Linked DNA regions of Anolis sagrei. The protein of the gene in region 1 binds, or shares a complex with, the protein of each later gene. Links are inferred from orthologs where the notes say so. Each region holds a gene or a part of one and is shown in the gene's direction. Other genes may lie near its edges. The genes, in order: non-structural maintenance of chromosomes element 3 homolog and NSMCE2.

Region 1 (8,879 bases):
AAATGTACTCCTTTTTGCCCTGCAAAGCATGTCGACTTTGGCAAAGGATTGCGGTTTGACATCCGTACCAGTCCTACCAGATGGGACAACTGGTAAAGACAACTCAGTGGCTTTTCTTCAACTTGGTGAGACCTTTTATTGGGAAAAATCAGGGAAAAATCTTGGGTGGTTTTTCTGTCTCGCCAGGGCGACAGACTCTCTTTGACGAGTCTGATTGGTCTCTGCCTCCTGGCAAAGACCCCTAAATTCTTGCTCAATATCAGCACGACGGTTTAAACCACTGCACCACCGGAGTCTCCCTACAGATACTTATCTGATCTACTTTTTAAGCCAACCAAGTTGATGGCCATCACAACATTATCTGGCAATGAATTCTATGGATAGATTATCTGGGATAATCTATCGCTCATCTTAATGGCTGCTGTTATATAAAAATACAGTTAAATATACCTAGTATTATGAGACGGTTAATAGCTGTGTGTGAGCCAGGCAGTTAAACCATTTACATTTTAAGAATAAGGTAGAATAAAAGTACAGTTTATACATTTCAGACTTGGGAAATAGATACATTATACAAAAGGATAAAAATTGTACAGCAAGGAGTGGATAAAAATGTGATAGTTACTGATTTTTGTCTTTGGGTGTTTAATCCTGAAGATAATGAGCTTATGCAGATTTCCTTTTTTCCAGGCCACCACACATCGAGAATATTGAAATGATCAGACTCCTTTGTTTTGAGCCACACTTTGGGGTTATTTCTCAATGAGAAACAATAGTTGGATCATTTGCTTCCTGACAGGTAAAGGTTAATGTTTTTCTGTCCCATAAGTAAAACAGAACCCGTTTAATAGATATATAGGAATAAAAGTGGGATAAAATATAGTTTATAGAAGAGAGAGACAAGTCTGGGGATGATGGGAAGGCCTGGGATTTTTATGCAAAAGAGAGGACACGGCTGCATCTCAATCTGGCTTGCTGCTCTTCGAAAAGTATAAATCCCTAACTATTAACATTTTTATTAGGGGTGGGGGTAGGGTGTTTAATAATATTTTGAGTTTTAGGATACAGAATATATTCATATATTCGGTTGCTGTGAGTTTTCTGGGCTGTATGGCCATGTTCCAGAAGCATTGATGTGGCTGAAATGTCAGGAGAGAATGCTTCTGGAACATGGCCATACAGCCTGGAAAACTCACAGCAACCCAGTGATTCTGGCCATGAAAGCCTTCAACAACACATATTCATATATTAAAGGTACAGGTTCCCCTGACATTAAGTCTAGTCATGTCCGACTCTGGGGGTGGTGCTCATCTCCATTACTAAGCTGAAGAGCTGGCATTGTCCATAGACACCTCCAAGGTCACGTGGCCAGCATGACTGAATGGAGTGCCATTACCTTCCTACCTATTGATCTACTCTTATTTGCATGTTTCCAAACTGCTAAGTTGGCAGAAGCTGGGCCTAACGACGAGAGCTCACCCCGCTCACTGGATTTGAACCACCGACCTTCTGGTCAGCAAGTTCAGCAGCTCAGCGGCTTAACCTGCTGCACCATCAGTGGCTCCATTCATATATTGTAAAGAAGAAACTGCAGAAACTATCGAGGTATCTCCCTTCTAACCTCAGCTGGGAAAATCCTCGCAAAAATCCTTGCAAATCGCCTTCTACCCCTCTCAGAAGACACCCTCCCAGAATCCCAGAACGGCTTCCGCCCCTCCAGAGGAACAGTGGACATGATCCGCACTGCACGACAGCTCCAAGAAAAATGCAGGGAACAAAATCAACCTCTGTACATGGCATTCATTGACCTCGCAAAGGCATTTGACACAGTGAATCGCAGCGCTCTCTAGACCATCCTCCAGAAAATCGGGTGCCCTGACAAATTTGTGAACATCCTGCGGCTCCTCCATGATGACACGATGGCAACAGTCTTGGACAGCAATGGCTCCCAAAGTGACCCATTTAAGGTGGAAGCAGGTGTCAGACAGGGATGTGTTATTGCCTCAACCTTATTTTCCATCTTCATCGCTATGATACTTCATCTTGTTGATGGGAAGCTTCCCACCGGAGTGGAAATCATCTATGGGACAGATGGCAAGACTGAAAGCCAAAACCAAGGTTACAACAACATCTGTTATAGAACTCCAGTATGCTGATGACAATGTCTTCTGTGCACATTCAGAAGACCTACAAGCTGCTCTAAACACCTTTGCAGAAGCATATGAGAAGCTCGGCCTGTTATTGAACATCGAAAAAACCAAAGTGCTGTTTCAGCAGTCACCAGGCAATCCCTCTCCAATGCCAGAGATACAGCTTAATGGAGTAACATTAGAAAATGTTGACCATTTCTGCTACCTTGGCAGCCACCTCTCCACCAAAGTCAACATTTACACTGAAATTCAACACTGCCTGAGCTCTGCGAGTGCAGCATTTTTACGAATGAAGCAGAGAGTGTTTGAGGACCGGGACATCCATAGGGATACCAAGGTGATTGTTTATAAAGCTATTGTCCTCCCAACCCTGCTATACGCCTGCGAGATGTTGACAGTCTACAGACATCACATGCAACTCCTGGAATGATTCCATCAGCACTGCCTCCGAAAAATCCTGCACAAGTATTGCACTGTATGCAACAAACACTTGCAAATGTATGTCTACTTAAATAAAATAAAATTTTAAAAAATTTAAAAAATCCTGCAAATCTCTTGGGAAGACAAGCGGACAAACGTCAGTGTGCTGGAAGAAGCAAAGACCACCAGCATTGAAGCGATGGTCCTCTGCTGTCAACTCCGCTGGACCAGTCACTTTGTCTGGATGCCCGATCACCGTCTCCCAAAGCAGTTGCTCTACTCCGAACTCAGGAACAGAAATAGAATGTTGGTGGGCAGGAAAAGAGATATAAAGACAGGCTCAAAGCCAACCTTAAAAACTCTGGCATAAACACTGAGAACTGGGAAGCCCTGGCCCTTGACCGCTCCAGTTGGAGGTCAGCTGTGATCAGCAGTGCTCTAGAATTTGAAGAGGCACGAATGGAGGGTGAAAGAGAGAAATGTACCAAGAGGAAGGTGCCGCAAGCCAACCCCGACCGGGACTGCCTTCCACCTGGAAACCAATGCCCTCACTGCAGGAGAAGACGCAGAGCAAGAATTGGGCTCCATAGTCACCTACGGACCCACCCTCAGGATACTATACTTGGAGGATCATCATCCTCGGACGAGGGATCGCCTAAGTAAGTCATATATTACTCATATTATTTGTAGTTCACAAATCCTGTTATGATCATCTTACTATTTTTTACAAAGCCCATCAAAGGTTTCCATTCTTCTTGCCGTTTGTGCAAATTAGTTTGTTGTAAAATTAATTTGTCCACTTCAGCCATTTCAAAAACATTTGGAATCCAACCATCTGTCATTGGTACAGTTGGTTGCTTCCATAATTTTATATACAGGGTGAGGCTGCATAACTTTTTAAAAAATGCGCGCCATTCAGTCGGTTAAAGACGTAGCAGAGCGCTAGTGGTCTCGTTCAAGAGACGGGAGTATAAAGTTTTGTCCTGACACAGTTCAGTCGCCATCATGCGTTGGAACAGCGAGGAGCGTGCTTTTGCCGTTGAGGCCTACTTTTCGAGCGGATTTGGAGTGGCCGGCCCGCTCTCCAGATTTGGCCCCTTGTGATTTTTTTCTGTGGGTGTTTTGAAATCCTGTTTATGTGAACCGTCCATGGACCCTACAAGACTTGAAGACCAACATCCAGGAAAAAATTGTCAACATAACGCTGGCAAGAGTCATGACAAACGCCAGAAATCAGTTTACTCAGTGTATGGAGAATGGAGAATGGGGGACGTCACCTACTTAATTTGATCTTCAAAACTACGTGAAACAAAACTTTAGGTATGCACCTACATTATTAATTCTGATTCATACAATGGGTTTTATTAAGTTTCGAAAAAGAAGTTATGCTGCCTCACCCTGTATTTAGATAAAATGTTCCTATTGTTTATATCCATTTAGGGAACTAGAAATATATCCCTATTTTTCGTTTTCCATTCATAAAAACCCCATAACTGCCACGGGGAACATGCTGTGAAATTCTGAGAATTGTAGTTTTGCCAGGGTCCCGCTCTAAACTACAAATCCCAGGTGGTTGACATGGCAATTAATAGAATAGCGCTGTAACAGTATAATGTGGCCATTTTTTTTTCTCCCCCACCCACAGCGTATGAATAGGCAGAGAATGCCCTTATATATGAAACTTATGCCAGGCTCAAACTGAGTGATTTATGAGGAGAGACATCATTCCCACCTTCGCCCGCCATTTTCCTTGCCAGGGTCTGCAGTTAAAACGCGCATGCGCACTGTTTTTTTCCTCTCAGGAGGAAAAAAAACTAATCAGAACTTCCTCTATCATCGAAGGAGCATGCGCACTAGGAAGTCCGGGTGATAGAGCGTGCGCATGCGCAAACCGGCGGCAGTCCTGGTGGTTAGTATCAGCGAGTAGGAAGGCGGGAAAGTGGCTCTCTGGGCATTTAGGCAAGTTGTTGGAGGGTTGGGATGCAGTCAGGACAATACTGCTATGTCTCAGTGGTATAGTATCCTGGGATTTGTAGTCTGGTGAGGCCCCAGCACCTTGTGGCAAAACAGCTAATGTCCCTGTAAAACTAGAAGCCTTGGGTGCATCTAGAGCAGGCCTCAAACCATTAAATAGCCAGGCAAGGGCTTCTGGGAGTTGGGAGTTGGAGAGCTACAAGTTCTGCAGGCCTGCTCTAAACCATAGAATAAATGCCGTTTGCCTGCCATGGCTCAATGATCTGTAATCCTGGGAGTTGTAGTTTTACAAGGTCTTCACTGTCAATTGGACACACCTGGAATACTGTGTCCAATTCTGGGCACCACAATTGAAGAGAGATATTGACAAGCTGGAATGTGTTGATCATTTTAGTCGCCCTCCAGAGGAGGGCGACTAAAATGATCAAGGGTCTGGAGAACAAGCCCTATGAGGAGTGGCTTAAGGAGCTGGGCATGTTTAGCCTGAAGAAGAGAAGGATGAGAGGAGATATGATGGCCATGTATATGATAGCCTTCTCGGTGGTGGCCCCTCACCTGTGGAACTCACTCCCAGGGGAAATTAGACCAGCGACATCCCTCCTTTCCTTCAGGAAAAAGTTGAAAACGTGGATTTGGGATCAGGCATTCAGACAACCTGGCAGATGAAAAAGGACGTGGCAATAGAATGGAATTGACATACACAATGGAATTAAGGGAATCTGGACAATGCATGCTGAGTTTGTGATTAGTTTTTAATGATTGTGTTATTGTTAACTGTTTAATTGTGATAAATGCTGATTGTTGTTTTATATGTATATGTACTCTATGTAGGCATCAAATAGTGCCTTTTTTGTAAGCTGCCCTGAGTCCCCCCCTAGGGGGTTGAGAAGGGTGGGGTAAAAGTAACTGTAATAAATAAATAAATGAATATAAATATGTGAGAGGAAGTCACGGGGAGGAGGGAGCAAGCTTGTTTTCTGGCTTCAAACTACAAGAAAGGAGATTCCATCTGAACATGAGGAAGAACTTCCTGACTGTGAGAGTTGTTCAGCAGAGGAACTCTCTGCCCTGGAGTGTGGTGGAGGCTCCTTCTTTGGAAGCTTTTAAACAGAGGCTGGATGGCCATCTGTCAGGGGTGCTTTAAATGCAATATTCTTGCTTCTTGGCAGGGGGTTGGACTGGATGGCCCATGAGGTCTCTTCCAACTCTTTGATTCTATGAAAGCGTGCTGGTGCCTCACCAAACTACAACTCCCATGAGCCCATAGCACTGAGTCATTGCAGTCAAAGTGGTGCCAAACTGCATTCATTCTACAGTGTGGATACACTCTAAATTTCCAGAACTAGCTGGTCTTACATATTTGAACATGGTTGCTCCTGGGTTGAAATTTAGCAAGCGAGGGGCTTAAAACCAACTCGAGAAGCCCAGTCTGTGGGAGGGGAAAGAGGCTCCAGGTTTTAATGTTGGTTTCAGGAATTGATCTTTAAAATCAATATTACTCTGGAATTCATTGCCCGGAGAGATCAGGAAAGCCCCTGTGTTAGAAACCTTTAAAAATTACAGTCTTAAGACCTGGCTCTGCCGTTGCTCTTTTGGAGAGTAGCCACATAATTTTATGAAATTGCTCCCTCAATGTTCTTGTCCCAGGAGCGCCCCCCCCCCCTTTGTACGAAGGTTTGTTTATTTTCCTATCTCTGTGAGCTCTCCCTTCCAATTAGTTCTGCCCCCTTATCTCACCCGCAGTTTTTAAATCATTTTATGTATATGCGGCCCATTCTCTGTTTGATTTTTATGTTCAGTGTATATTGTTTTATATGTTTTGATGTTTTACACTTTAACGTTATGTTGTTTATTTTACTGCAGTTTGTATTTTTGTATTGTAGTTTGTTGTTCGGGCTTGACCCCATGTAAGCTCTCCGAGTCCCCGTTGGGGAAATGGTGGCAGGGTATAGATAAAGTTTATTATTATTATTATTATTATTATTGGCTGAGAGACAGAAATATACACGATTTCCCCATCAGCAGGTTATCTGTCCGAATGTATATTTCCCCTACGAACAGCTTGGAGACTAAGATCATCTGGGGAAGCCCTGCTCTCGGTCCTGCCTGTCTCACAAGTACGGCTGGTGGGGGATGAGAGATAGGGCCTTCTCAGTGGTGGCCCCTTGGTTTTAGAACTCCCTCCCTAGCAATATCAGATCAGCCTCCTTCCTACTAGCTTTCAAGAAGAGAGTCAAAACCTGGCTCTGGAAGCAGGCTTTGAAAATTAGGACAATGCAGTATTCCAAATATAGAATTATGTGCAATTTCACCAAGGAATGAACTCTGGATGGCGTGTTTTTAACTTTGAGTATATTTTAACCATTTTAAACATGTTGTAATTTTAAACTATTTTATGGTGAATTTGTTGTTTTGAGGCACTGTGTATGTGCCATTGTAAGCTGCCTTGAGTCTCCCTGCTGGGGTAGAGAAAAGTGGGGTATAAATATGGCTAAATAAATAAATAATCTGACCTAACATTTTCTTCCTGTCCTTTACAGATAACTCATCAGAAAGATGTCACAGAGCAGGCGTAGTAGTAAAGGACCTGGCCCTTCTCAGGTATTACTATTGTCTTATTTATTTATATCCCGCATTCCTCTCTTAAAAGAAACTAGATGGCTACAAACAACACAACGTGTGTCCGTTGTTTTGTAGTGTGGTTTAATTCATGTGTAGTTTATCCTGACCCCATAAAATTAATGCAATACTTACAATATGTACAGGTTTTCACTGAGAGAGAAAAACAGGACAGAAGATGGAGCTAGATCTTTCCTGTATTTAGGTGTGATATCATAGTACAAAACACCTGTAGTATTTTCAACTTCACACACTTCACTTAATGCATCCTTCTCATGCATTTAAGTGGATAGGGCTTGGTTTTTAACAGGTTCGACTCTCATTACAATATGTAACACAATTTTTATTTCTGTGTTATGAGTGTCATTTCCTGTTTAGTTCTATTACAAAAACATCGAACAGTTTATTACACTGCAAAAACGTTGTCATTGTGGGATATCCTGCAGCACATTTTGTTAGAGTTTTTCAATGAATATCGCATAGAGTCTCAACCAATTCAACATAGTTTGTGGCAGCCACAAAAATGAAGTTTCTGGAGTAGAAGCGCTGATTTCAAAGTAAGTACTGCACAGTTCAACAGGAAATAATACTTTCAATTTTTGTTACATAGTGTTATAGGAAAGACTTGTTTTGCGAGCCAGTAAAGTATAGTGGTTGGAGCGTAGAGCCAGAACAGTAATTTCCAAACTGTAGTCCTCCTAACAGCTGGTAAGCTGGCTGGGAATTCTAGGAGTTGAAGTACAAAACACCAGGAGGACCAAAGGTTGGGAACCACTGAACTAGGATATTGAAAGGTTCAAATTCCTTCTAAGCCATGGAAAGTGGATTTAGGCTGAGAATGAGGATTGCCTCATAATACAATAATTAAAATGAAGAACAATTTTAACAATTATAAACTTATTCGTATTTCTTTTTTTATTTGTTTTTATTAGTTTTTTAGAAGTTAACAATAAAAGAGGGGAAACAATCTGATAATAGGAAAGTAGGAAACAATAGGGAGTGGAAGGGTAAACAGGATTGGTAAGGAAAGTGGTTAAGGGAGAGGGGGGAGGTTTAGCCAGGGAATGAATTGGGAAGGGAAAAGGGGAGGATGAGTTGGAAGGGGGGTGGACGAAGCATTGGTAACTTCCAGTTCATTCCACAGAGATATTATCTCAAATTATAAAGAGAAAAAAAAAGAATTTTCCATTTCTTCGCAATCATTATTCTCGCCGCCGCTGATAAGTAAAAAGAACATTTCTTTATTTTTCCCCATCTCAAAATCCATTATGCACAACAAATAATATTCTGGATTCATTTTGAATTTTATCTTAAGAATACTTTGGGTGTGCTTGTGAATTGTTGTCCAAAAGTTTGGATAAACTTATTAGTATTTCAATGGGAAGTTTGGGCCTGCTTTTGGCTGATGAGATAGGACTGCTGCTGCTGCTGTTGTTGTTGTTGTTGTTGTTGTTGTGTGCTTTCAAGTCGTTTCAGACTTAGGTTGACCCTGAGCAAGGGTAAATGACCTTGGAGGGCCATAACCCCGGGCCTTAATTTGAGGACCTCTGCTGTAGATCTTCAGATATTTCCTATTTAACCTGGCCAGTTGTGAGGTATAAACATGGGAATGGCAATTCATCAACATTCGGAGGGCTGAATACTCCTCACCTCAAGCTAGACAAACAATTAATCTAAACTGTAAAATTAATGCAGTTCAACACCAGATTTTACTGC
Region 2 (9,229 bases), on another chromosome or scaffold:
TTAAAATGAATTCTTCAGAACAGCTAAATTCTTACCTTGAAGTAACTGAAATCAAATATGATATCCCCATATTTCTGCTGATCGGCTTTGTCTCGGAGTCGGAACACGCTTGGAATGAATTCTGACAGTCTCAGGAATTCTGCAATTATTGCATTTCCACAAGAGACGATCCTCAGAATGGCCTGCCCACAGTGATTATTTTCAGCTAGGAAGTCCAACATGGTGAAGGGACAACAGGCCTTCAGAGGTGTCTTTTTCAATTCAAGCCCGTCTTTTCACTCTTTGCGTTATCTGATGGCAGGTGCATTGCGGAGTGCTCCTTTAGGAGACCTAAAAATCATGAAACACAGAATATATTCTTGATTTTTCTCTTTTTTTTCTTGGAGGCTGTAAAAAAAAAATCATACCTGGTGTGATATTATTGGAATGAGAGTCTCTTTTCTTGACTGTGTATACAACAAGTATAATATATGGAAATAAACATGGCAGTGTTCATTGGAAATAAACATGCTAGCGTTTACACAAGTGTTTGTGTCCTAACTTGAAAGCTCCATTTGCTACCAGTGCTATAGTTTGATGATCTCATATTAAACAGAAATCAAAACACACAGCCAGATCCCAGACTATACCTGAAAAATAAAGCAACCCCAAGAATAGAAAAGCTGTCTATTCTTGACTCAGTATACTTGGCTTTGGTTTCCTATACATGGCTGTGTCTACATTGTAGAATTAATGTAGTTTGACACCACTTTAATTGTTATGGCTCAACCTATGGAATCTAGGATTGGCCCTGCCCACGGTGATCATTTTTAGTGTCTTAATATTTCGATTTTATATTGTTGTGTTGTTTACTTACATTGGTTTTGTATTTTACGTTATTTTATTTTCTAATTTTCTGTTGTGTTTTTGTGTTATATTGTTTTTACTGTATTGATGGGCGTGGCCTCATGTAAGCCGCCCCAAGTCCCCTTGGGGAGATGGTGGCGGGGTATAAATGAAGTTTTTATTATTACTATTATTATTATTAGTAGTAGTATGGTAAGGCACCAGCACTCTTTGGCAGAGAAGGCTAAAAATAAACCTTGTAGAACAACAACTCCCACAATGTCACAACATTAAGCCACAACAATTAAAGTCGTGTGAAACTGCATTAATTCTATATTGTAGTGGGAATCATTATACTTTTCAGATATGGTTGGACTGCAATTCCCAGCAACTCTAGTTTGCATATTCAGTGGTGAGGAATGTTAAGAGTTGTAGTCCAACATCAACTACTAAGGAGGCTGTTCAGGTCCTGAACCGCTGCTTGGCCGCTGTGACAGTCTGGATGAGGGCAAACAAACTGAAATAGAATCCAGACAAGACAGAGGTACTCCTGGTCAGTTGCAAGGCCGAACAAGGCATAGGGTTACAGCCTGTTTTGGATGGGGTTAGGCTCCCCCTGAAGACACAGGTTCGCAGTCTGGGTGTGATCCTGGATTCATCGCTGAGCCTGGAACCTCATGTTTCGGCGGTGACCAGGGGAGCATTTGCACAGTTAAAGCTTGTGCACCAGCTGCGCCTGTACCTTGGAAAGTCTGACTTGGCCACGGTAGTCCACGCTCTGATTACATTCCAAATAGACTACTGCAACGCTCTCTATGTGGGGTTGCCTTTGAAGACGGTCCGGAAGCTTCAACTAGTCCAACAAACTGCAGCCAGGTTGCTAACAGGAGCAGCGCTCAGGGAACATACAACCCGCTTGTTGTGCCAGTTCCACTGGCTGCTGGTTTGCTACCTGGCCCAATTCAAAGTGCTGGCTTTGGCCTATAAAGCCATAAACGGTTCTGGCCCAACTTACCTGTCCAAACTTGTCTCCCCTTATGGACCATTGAGGACTCTAAGATCATCTGGGGAGGCCCTGCTCTCGGTCCCGCCTTCGTCTCAAGTACGTTTGGTGGGGACGAGAGACAGGGCCTTCTCAGTGGTGGCCCCTCGGCTATGGAACACCCTCCCTAGGGAGATTAGATCTGCTCCCTCCCTCTTAACGTTTCGGAGGCAAGTTAAAACATGGCTGTTTGAGAAAGTGTTTACCAATGCAGAGTAGCTAATATAGGAAATCGAACGATTTGACAATGGAACTGGACAATGCTTGATAATGAGACGCTAATGATGTTGTTTTTATTGTTTTTGTGGTGTTTTATATTGTTTAATGTTTTAATCTGTATTATGTTTTTATATGTACTAATTTGTTGGAAACTGCCTTGAGTCACCGAATGGCTGAGAAAGGCGGTTTACAAATACAGTAAATAAATAAACAAATAGAAGGTTGTATAATTTCCAATTTGTTTTAAGCACATGTGCCTTGAAGATTTATCATTATTATTACCAACTACTTCCCAATGAGAGTCTGACCAATATTGCTCAATATTTCTTCTCTTCCTGTCACTAAGGCAAGCCACTTCCCATCCGCACCCATACTGGAGTTGCATTAATTCACCATCTTTCTGCATACTAAACCTCTTTTACCATGCTTCAACATAAGAGAAAGTGTGTTATTATGCAGTTATACAAGTTTCATTCCATGTTAACTCTCATGGTTCTACACTAAGGTCTTCTGGGATCTGTAGTATGTTAGGTGCCTGAGAAGAGAGGCACTGAGGAATCAATCAGTTGAATTCTGCAACCTGAAATGGCTTAAAGGCTGCAGCTACATAGTATGGAATTGTGAAATCTGTAGTTATAGCCCTATCAGAAAAGTTAACTTATACATTAAGATTAGCAAAAAGATAAATAAAAGATCTATTTGATAACAAGTGGACACCATTCACCTGCTTCATATCCAAAAGTAATGGCAAATTCAGAACATCAAACAACCAAGAAAGACGTGGATGAACAATTAGTAAATATATTAGAATAACCAATATATGCAATGGGTGAAATTAGAATAGAACGGACAAGAGCTGCATTTTTATAATGTTGTCTAAATGATGTTGGGAAGTAAGGAACCTGTATAGGTCTGGGAACAGATGATGTAACAAGGTAAGTGTGCAATAATAATAACAATAATAAATAATATATTGTAATAATAATAATAATAACCTATCTCCCCGAGGGGACTCAAAGCAGATTCCAGCATGTAAACAGACACAGAAAAACATTCAATACCTCTGAAACACAATGGAACACAAATACAAAGGCAAAGGCTTTCCCTTTCATCTCCGGCTCTGGAGGCAGTGCTCATCTCTGGCTCTGCGGGGAGGTACTCATTTCCATTTCCAAGCTGAGGAGCCTGCGTTGTCCATACATACCTCCTGGTCACGTAGCCATGACTTCATGAAGCGCCAATTTACCTTCCTGCCAAGGCGGTACCTATTGATCTACTCACATTTGCATGTTTTCGAACTGCTAGGTTGGCAGGAGCTAGGGCTGACAGCAGGAGCTGAACTGCTAACCTTCAGGTCAGCAAGCTCAACAGCTCAATGGTTTAACCTGTTGCGCCACCATGGTGTGTGTGTGTATCTATATATAATGCATTATGTATGTGTGTGTGTGTATATATATATATATATATATATATATATATATAATAAAGTGTATAATAATAATATTAATAATAATATGCATTAATTATACAACCTCCCTGCTGGGGGCCCCAGTGGCACAATGGGTTAAATTGCTGAAGTGCTGAACTTGCTGACCGAGAGGTCAGCAGTTCAAATCTGGGGAGTGGGGTGTGCTACCGCTGTTAGCCCCGGCTTCTGCCAACTTAGCAGTTCGAAAACATGCAAATGTGAGTAGATCAATAAGTACTGCTCCAGTGGGAAGGTAACAGCGCTCCATGCAGTCATGCCGGCCACATGACCTTGGAGGTGTCTATGGACAACGCTGGCTCTTTGGCTTACAAATGGAGATGAGCGCCAACCAGAGTTGGACACGACTGGATTTAATGTCAGGGGGAAACCTTTACCTTAACCTACCAGCTGGGGCATTTTAGGGTTCGTCTACATTGTAGAATTAATGCAGATTTAACTGCCTTGCCTTAATGCTATGGCATCAAGTGAATTGTCATTTTACAAGTCTTCTGTCCCAAAGTGTGTTGGTGCCTCACCAAACTACAACGCCCAGGATCCCATTGCACTGACCCACTGCACTTTATTTATTTGTCGTGTCAGGGCAACCAGTCAATTATATTACATTTCTAACAGAACAAAGCAAACAAACAGACAAAATACAAAATTTGTGAGTTTGGTAGTTGATTAAATGTCCTTTGACCAGTATCTGGCCACTTGGAGTGCTTCTGGTGTTGCTGCAAGAAGGTCCTCCATTGTGCATGTAGCGGGGCTCAGGTTGCATTGCAGCAGGTGGTCAGTGGTTTGCTCTTCTCCACACTCGCATGTTGTGGATTCCATTTTGTAGCCCCATTTCTTGAGGTTGGCTCTGCATCTTGTGGTGCCAGAGCACGGTCTGTTCAGCACCTTCCAAGTCGTCCAGTCCTCTGTGTGCCCAGGGGGGAGTCTCTCATTTGGTATCAGCCATTGGTTGAGGTTCTGGGTTTTAGCCTGCCACTTTTGGACTCTCACTTGCTGAGATGTTCCAGCGAGTGTCTCTGTAGATCTTAGAAAACTATTTCTAGATTTAAGTCGTTGACATGCTGGCTGATACCCAAACAGGGGATGAGCTGGAGATGTCTCTGCCTTGGTCCTTTCACTATTGGCTGCTACTTCCCGGCGGATATCAGGTGGTGCAATACCGGCTAAGCAGTGTAATTTCTCCAGTGGTGTAGGGCGCAGACACCCTGTGATAATGCGGCATGTCTCATTAAGAGCCACATCCACTGTTTTAGTGTGGTGAGATGTGTTCCACACTGGGCATGCATATTCAGCAGCCGAGTAGCACAGCGCAAGGGCAGATATCTTCACTGTATCTGGTTGTGATCCCCAGGTTGTGCCAGTCAGCTTTCGTATGATATTGTTTCTAGCACCCACTTTTTGATTGATGTTCAGGCAGTGCTTCTTGTAGGTAAGAGCACTGCATTAATTCTATAGTATAGCTGCACCCACCCACCCCTGGTGTCAATAACCAACCAGTTTAATGGGGAATTATTTCCCAACCAACCCTCCCCAGTCCTTTTTCATTGCCCTGCATAGACCTTGCAAGCTCTCTTTCTACCAGGAAGATAGTAAACAAATCCCTTCCTCTTTTTTCCCCCCTCCACCTCCAATTTTGTTTTGTTATATAATTATTTCTTTCTCCCAAAAATGCAAACAGCTGACCTGATCCTCTTCCAGCAGCAGAAAAAAAACAAGAGGTTGGAATTCAGCCTGGAATTTGCAGGAAACACCCAGAGAAAATGCAAGAAGAGAAAGCAAACCCACCATTCAGCAGCCTCTTCCTCTCGCCTTGCATCACATGGGAGCTTTCTCAGGTCATGTGAACCAGGCTCTGGGTGATGCTGATCCGCTTCCCTTTTGGACAGGCTCCTCCTCCTCCTTTTCAAGAGCAAATGGGTGTCTGGATCCGGATCCAGCAGTGGAAAGAGACCCAGAGAAAGGGAGCAAAGGGATCCCCTTCTTTTCTAAGCCCTGCGCCTCCCTGCAAAAATTAAAAAAAGGAAAGGCAGCCCAAGAGCCAAGGCTTTGCAAAGTAAGAAGTTGCTGCTGGGTGGATTGGATGGAAGCTTGGATGCATCTACATTGCAGAATTAACGCAGTTTGGCACCGCTTTAACCAGGAGTTCTTGCTCTTTGAACAGCTAAAGACCTTGCAAAACTCCCCCAACTCCTCCAAATGTATTTGGACACAGCATTCCTTCCAAAACTTGTTCTAGTTATGCCAGCAAATGTTTAGTTTGAGCAAAGAGAGAAATAGTTTTGACTTTCACAATTATAAGAGAAAAAGTGGGCTATAAATCAACATAATAATAATAATAATATGTATTATTATTTGAAACATAACAAGATGAGTCCACAGCGAACAAGATCACTTTCCTGGCTGTTGTATTGGATCACACACAGGAAATATTATTATTATTAGAAACACAACAAGATTGGTACACAGTGAACAAGATCAGTATGCTGGCTTTTGTATTCAATCAGTGCAGATTGTTTTTAAGTGCAGGCCAAAGTTTTTAGGCACTGCGCCCAGTGTGCCAATCACCACTGGGACCACCTTTTTCTAGCTTGTCACAGAGTCTTTGCAGTTCTGTTTATTAATGTTACATTTATTATTATTGTTATTATTATTATTAGAAACACCACAAGATGAGTCCACAGTAGACACTCTGCTGGCTGTTGTATTGGATCACACGTTGGACACTTCCCAAGTGTCTAGTCTTGGTGAATAATGCGTGCAGATCCCAGTAGGGTGGCCTTCTGCAGCTGGCCGATGGTAATTTTGTCAGTGCCGATTGTGTTTAATTATTATTATTATTAGAAACACCACAAGATGAGTCCACAGTAGACACTCATCTTCCCAAGTGTCTAGTCTTGGTGAATAATGCGTGCAGATCCCAGTAGGGTGGCCTTCTGCAGCTGGCCGATGGTAATTTTGTCAGTGCCGATTGTGTTTAATTATTATTATTATTAGAAACACCACAAGATGAGTCCACAGTAGACACTCTGCTGGCTGTTGTATTGGATCACACGTCGGACACTTCCCAAGTGTCTAGTCTTGGTGAATAATGCGTGCAGATCCCAGTAGGGTGGCCTTCTGCAGCTGGCCGATGGTAATTTTGTCAGTGCCGATTGTGTTTAAGTGCAGGCCAAGGTCTTTAGGCACTGCACCCAGTGTGCCAATCGCTGATCAGGACCACCTTGACTGGCTTGTGCCAGAGTCTGCAGTTCGATCTTTAAATCCTCATATTGTGTCAGCTTTATTTATATTTATTATTATTATTATGGAGCCCCCAGTGGAGCAATGGTTAAACTCCTGTGCCAACAGGACTGAAGACCGACAGGTCACAGGTTCTAATTGGGTTCCATGTTGGGAGGAAGGTGGGATGCCAATATAATAAATGAATACAAATATATAATAATAATACATATATTTTTCCCCCAGGAAATTAGACCAGAATGTCTAGCCAAAGTGTGGTCTCCTTTGCCGGCGTGGATACATGCCTTTCCTCTCTGAAACACTGCCAGTCCTATATAAGTACCGGAATGGAGATGGCTACCAAGGTTGCTTTTGACCTTGTGGAAAATCGCAGTGAGTTTCTCTCATTTTTTGAACAAATAGCTTTATTCTTGCTGCAATCACTTCTCAGGGTTTCCTATCTGTCCTGGAATGCTCAGGGAAAGAAATGAGCGCTATCCATCTTTAATGTGTCGTTGAAGGCTTTCATGGACGGTATCAATAGGTAGCTGTAAGTTTTCAGGGCTGTATGGCCATGTTCCAGAAGCATTATCCCTTGCGCCGTGCTACTCTGCTGCTGAGTATGCATGCCCAGTGTGGAACACATCTCACCATACTAAAACAGTGGATGTGGCTCTTAATGAGACATGCTGAATTTTCACGGGGTGTCTGCGCCCTACACCACTGGAGAAATTACACTGCTTAGCCGGTATTGCACCACCTGACATCCGCCGGGAAGTAGCAGCCAATAGTGAAAGGACCAAGGCAGAGACATCTCCAGCTCATCCCCTGTTTGGATATCAGCCAGCACGCCAATGACTTAAATCTAGACATAGTTTTCTAAGATCTACAGAGACACTCGCTGGAACACCTCAGCAAGCGAGAGTCCAAAAGTGGCAGGCTCAAACCCAGCCCTTCAACCAATGGCTGATACCAAATGAGAGACTCCCTCCTGGGCACACAGAAGACTGGGCGACTTGGAAGGCATTGAACAGACTGTGCTCTGGCACCACGAGATGCAGAGCCAACCTTCAGAAATGGGGCTACAAAGTAGAATCCTCGACATGCGAGTGTGGAGAAGAGCAAACCACTGACCACCTGCTGCAATGCACCCTCAGCCCTGCCACATGCACCATGGAGGACCTTCTTGCAGCAACACCAGAGGCACTCCAAGTGGCCAGATACTGGTCAAAGGACATTTAACCAGCTACCAAAGTCACAAGTTGTGTATTTTTCTGTTTGTTTGCTTTGTTATGTTAGAAATGTAATATAATGGACTGGCTGCTCTGACACGACAAATAAATAAATCTCCTGTCGTTTCGCCTGCATCTATGGCAGGCATCCTCAGAGGTTGTGAGGTCTTTAATCCATCTTTAATCTGGTGGGAACTCGAACTCCCCTTTCTGAGTGAGAGAGTTTGGCCAAAACAGAAAAAAATAATTTCCACAGCAGTGGTTCCCAACCTGTGGTCTGTGGACCACCAGTGGTCCACAAGGACTAAAATACGGTCCGCTGCCTCACCATTACTACACTGTTGCGACAGGTCTCGCAAAACTCTTTTATAGTGCCGAGTTTTGTGTGGGATGTTTAGCCCAATTCTACTGTTGGTGGGGTTCCGAATGCTCTTTGATTGTAAGTGAACTATAAATCTCTCTATCTAATCAATCTAATGCAGTGTTTCTCAACCTGGGGGTCAGGACCCCTGATGGGGGTCCCAAGGGGGTGTAGGAGGGGTCACCAAAGACCATCAGAAAACACAGTATTTTCTGTTGGTCATGGGGGTTTTGTGTGGGATGTTTGGCCCAATTCTACTGTTGGTGGGGTTCAGAATGCTCTTTGATTGTAAGTGAACTATAAATCCAAGCAACTACAACTCCCAAATGTCAGGGTCTATTTTCCTCAAACTCCAAAAGTGTTCACATTTGGGCATACTGAGTATTCGTGTCAAGTTTGGTCCAGATCTATCATTATTTGCGTCAACTAACACTCCAAAACTCAAGGCCAATGCCCACCAAACCCTTCCAGTATTTTTTGTTGGTCATGGGAGTTCTGTGTGCCAAGTATGGTTTAATTCCATCATTGGTGGAATTCAGAATGCTCTTTGATTGTAGGTGAACTATTTTATTTATTAATTAATTATTTATTTAGCAGTTTTGTATACCTGTCTTCTCACCTCCGTTCAAGGGACTCAGGCCGGTTTCCAACATCAGTATTACAGACAGTCATTAAAACATCATATTCTAAATCACACTAAAACATTAAAATACAATCATATAATTACAGTGGTCAGTTGTCATCAAAAATCATTATTCGTCATCATCCATCCATATCACAGGATCATGGCTCATTCGTCGAATGCCAATCCCCAAAGCCAAGTTTTCACCTGTTTCCTGAATGTT

The links.
Region 2: non-structural maintenance of chromosomes element 3 homolog (region 1) and NSMCE2 share a complex: the UniProt entries of both Homo sapiens proteins name them as parts of the SMC5-SMC6 complex. The link is inferred for Anolis sagrei from reciprocal best matches to the Homo sapiens genes NSMCE3 and NSMCE2.

The regions. Positions count from the first base shown.
Region 1 is NC_090022.1:172,852,366-172,861,244, reverse strand, and holds the start of non-structural maintenance of chromosomes element 3 homolog, read left to right. Parts: upstream 1-4,414; 5' UTR 4,415-4,479; exon of another isoform or gene 4,480-4,529; intron 4,530-7,084; 5' UTR 7,085-7,100; coding exon 7,101-7,145; intron 7,146-8,879. UniProt on the Homo sapiens protein: Component of the SMC5-SMC6 complex, a complex involved in repair of DNA double-strand breaks by homologous recombination. The complex may promote sister chromatid homologous recombination by recruiting the SMC1-SMC3 cohesin complex to double-strand breaks.
Region 2 is NC_090024.1:19,389,857-19,399,085, reverse strand, and holds the start of NSMCE2 (E3 SUMO-protein ligase NSE2), read left to right. Parts: upstream 1-5,452; 5' UTR 5,453-5,625; intron 5,626-7,037; 5' UTR 7,038-7,051; coding exon 7,052-7,184; intron 7,185-9,229. Other genes in the region: WASHC5 (WASH complex subunit 5), read right to left, coding at 36-221. UniProt on the Homo sapiens protein: E3 SUMO-protein ligase component of the SMC5-SMC6 complex, a complex involved in DNA double-strand break repair by homologous recombination. Is not be required for the stability of the complex.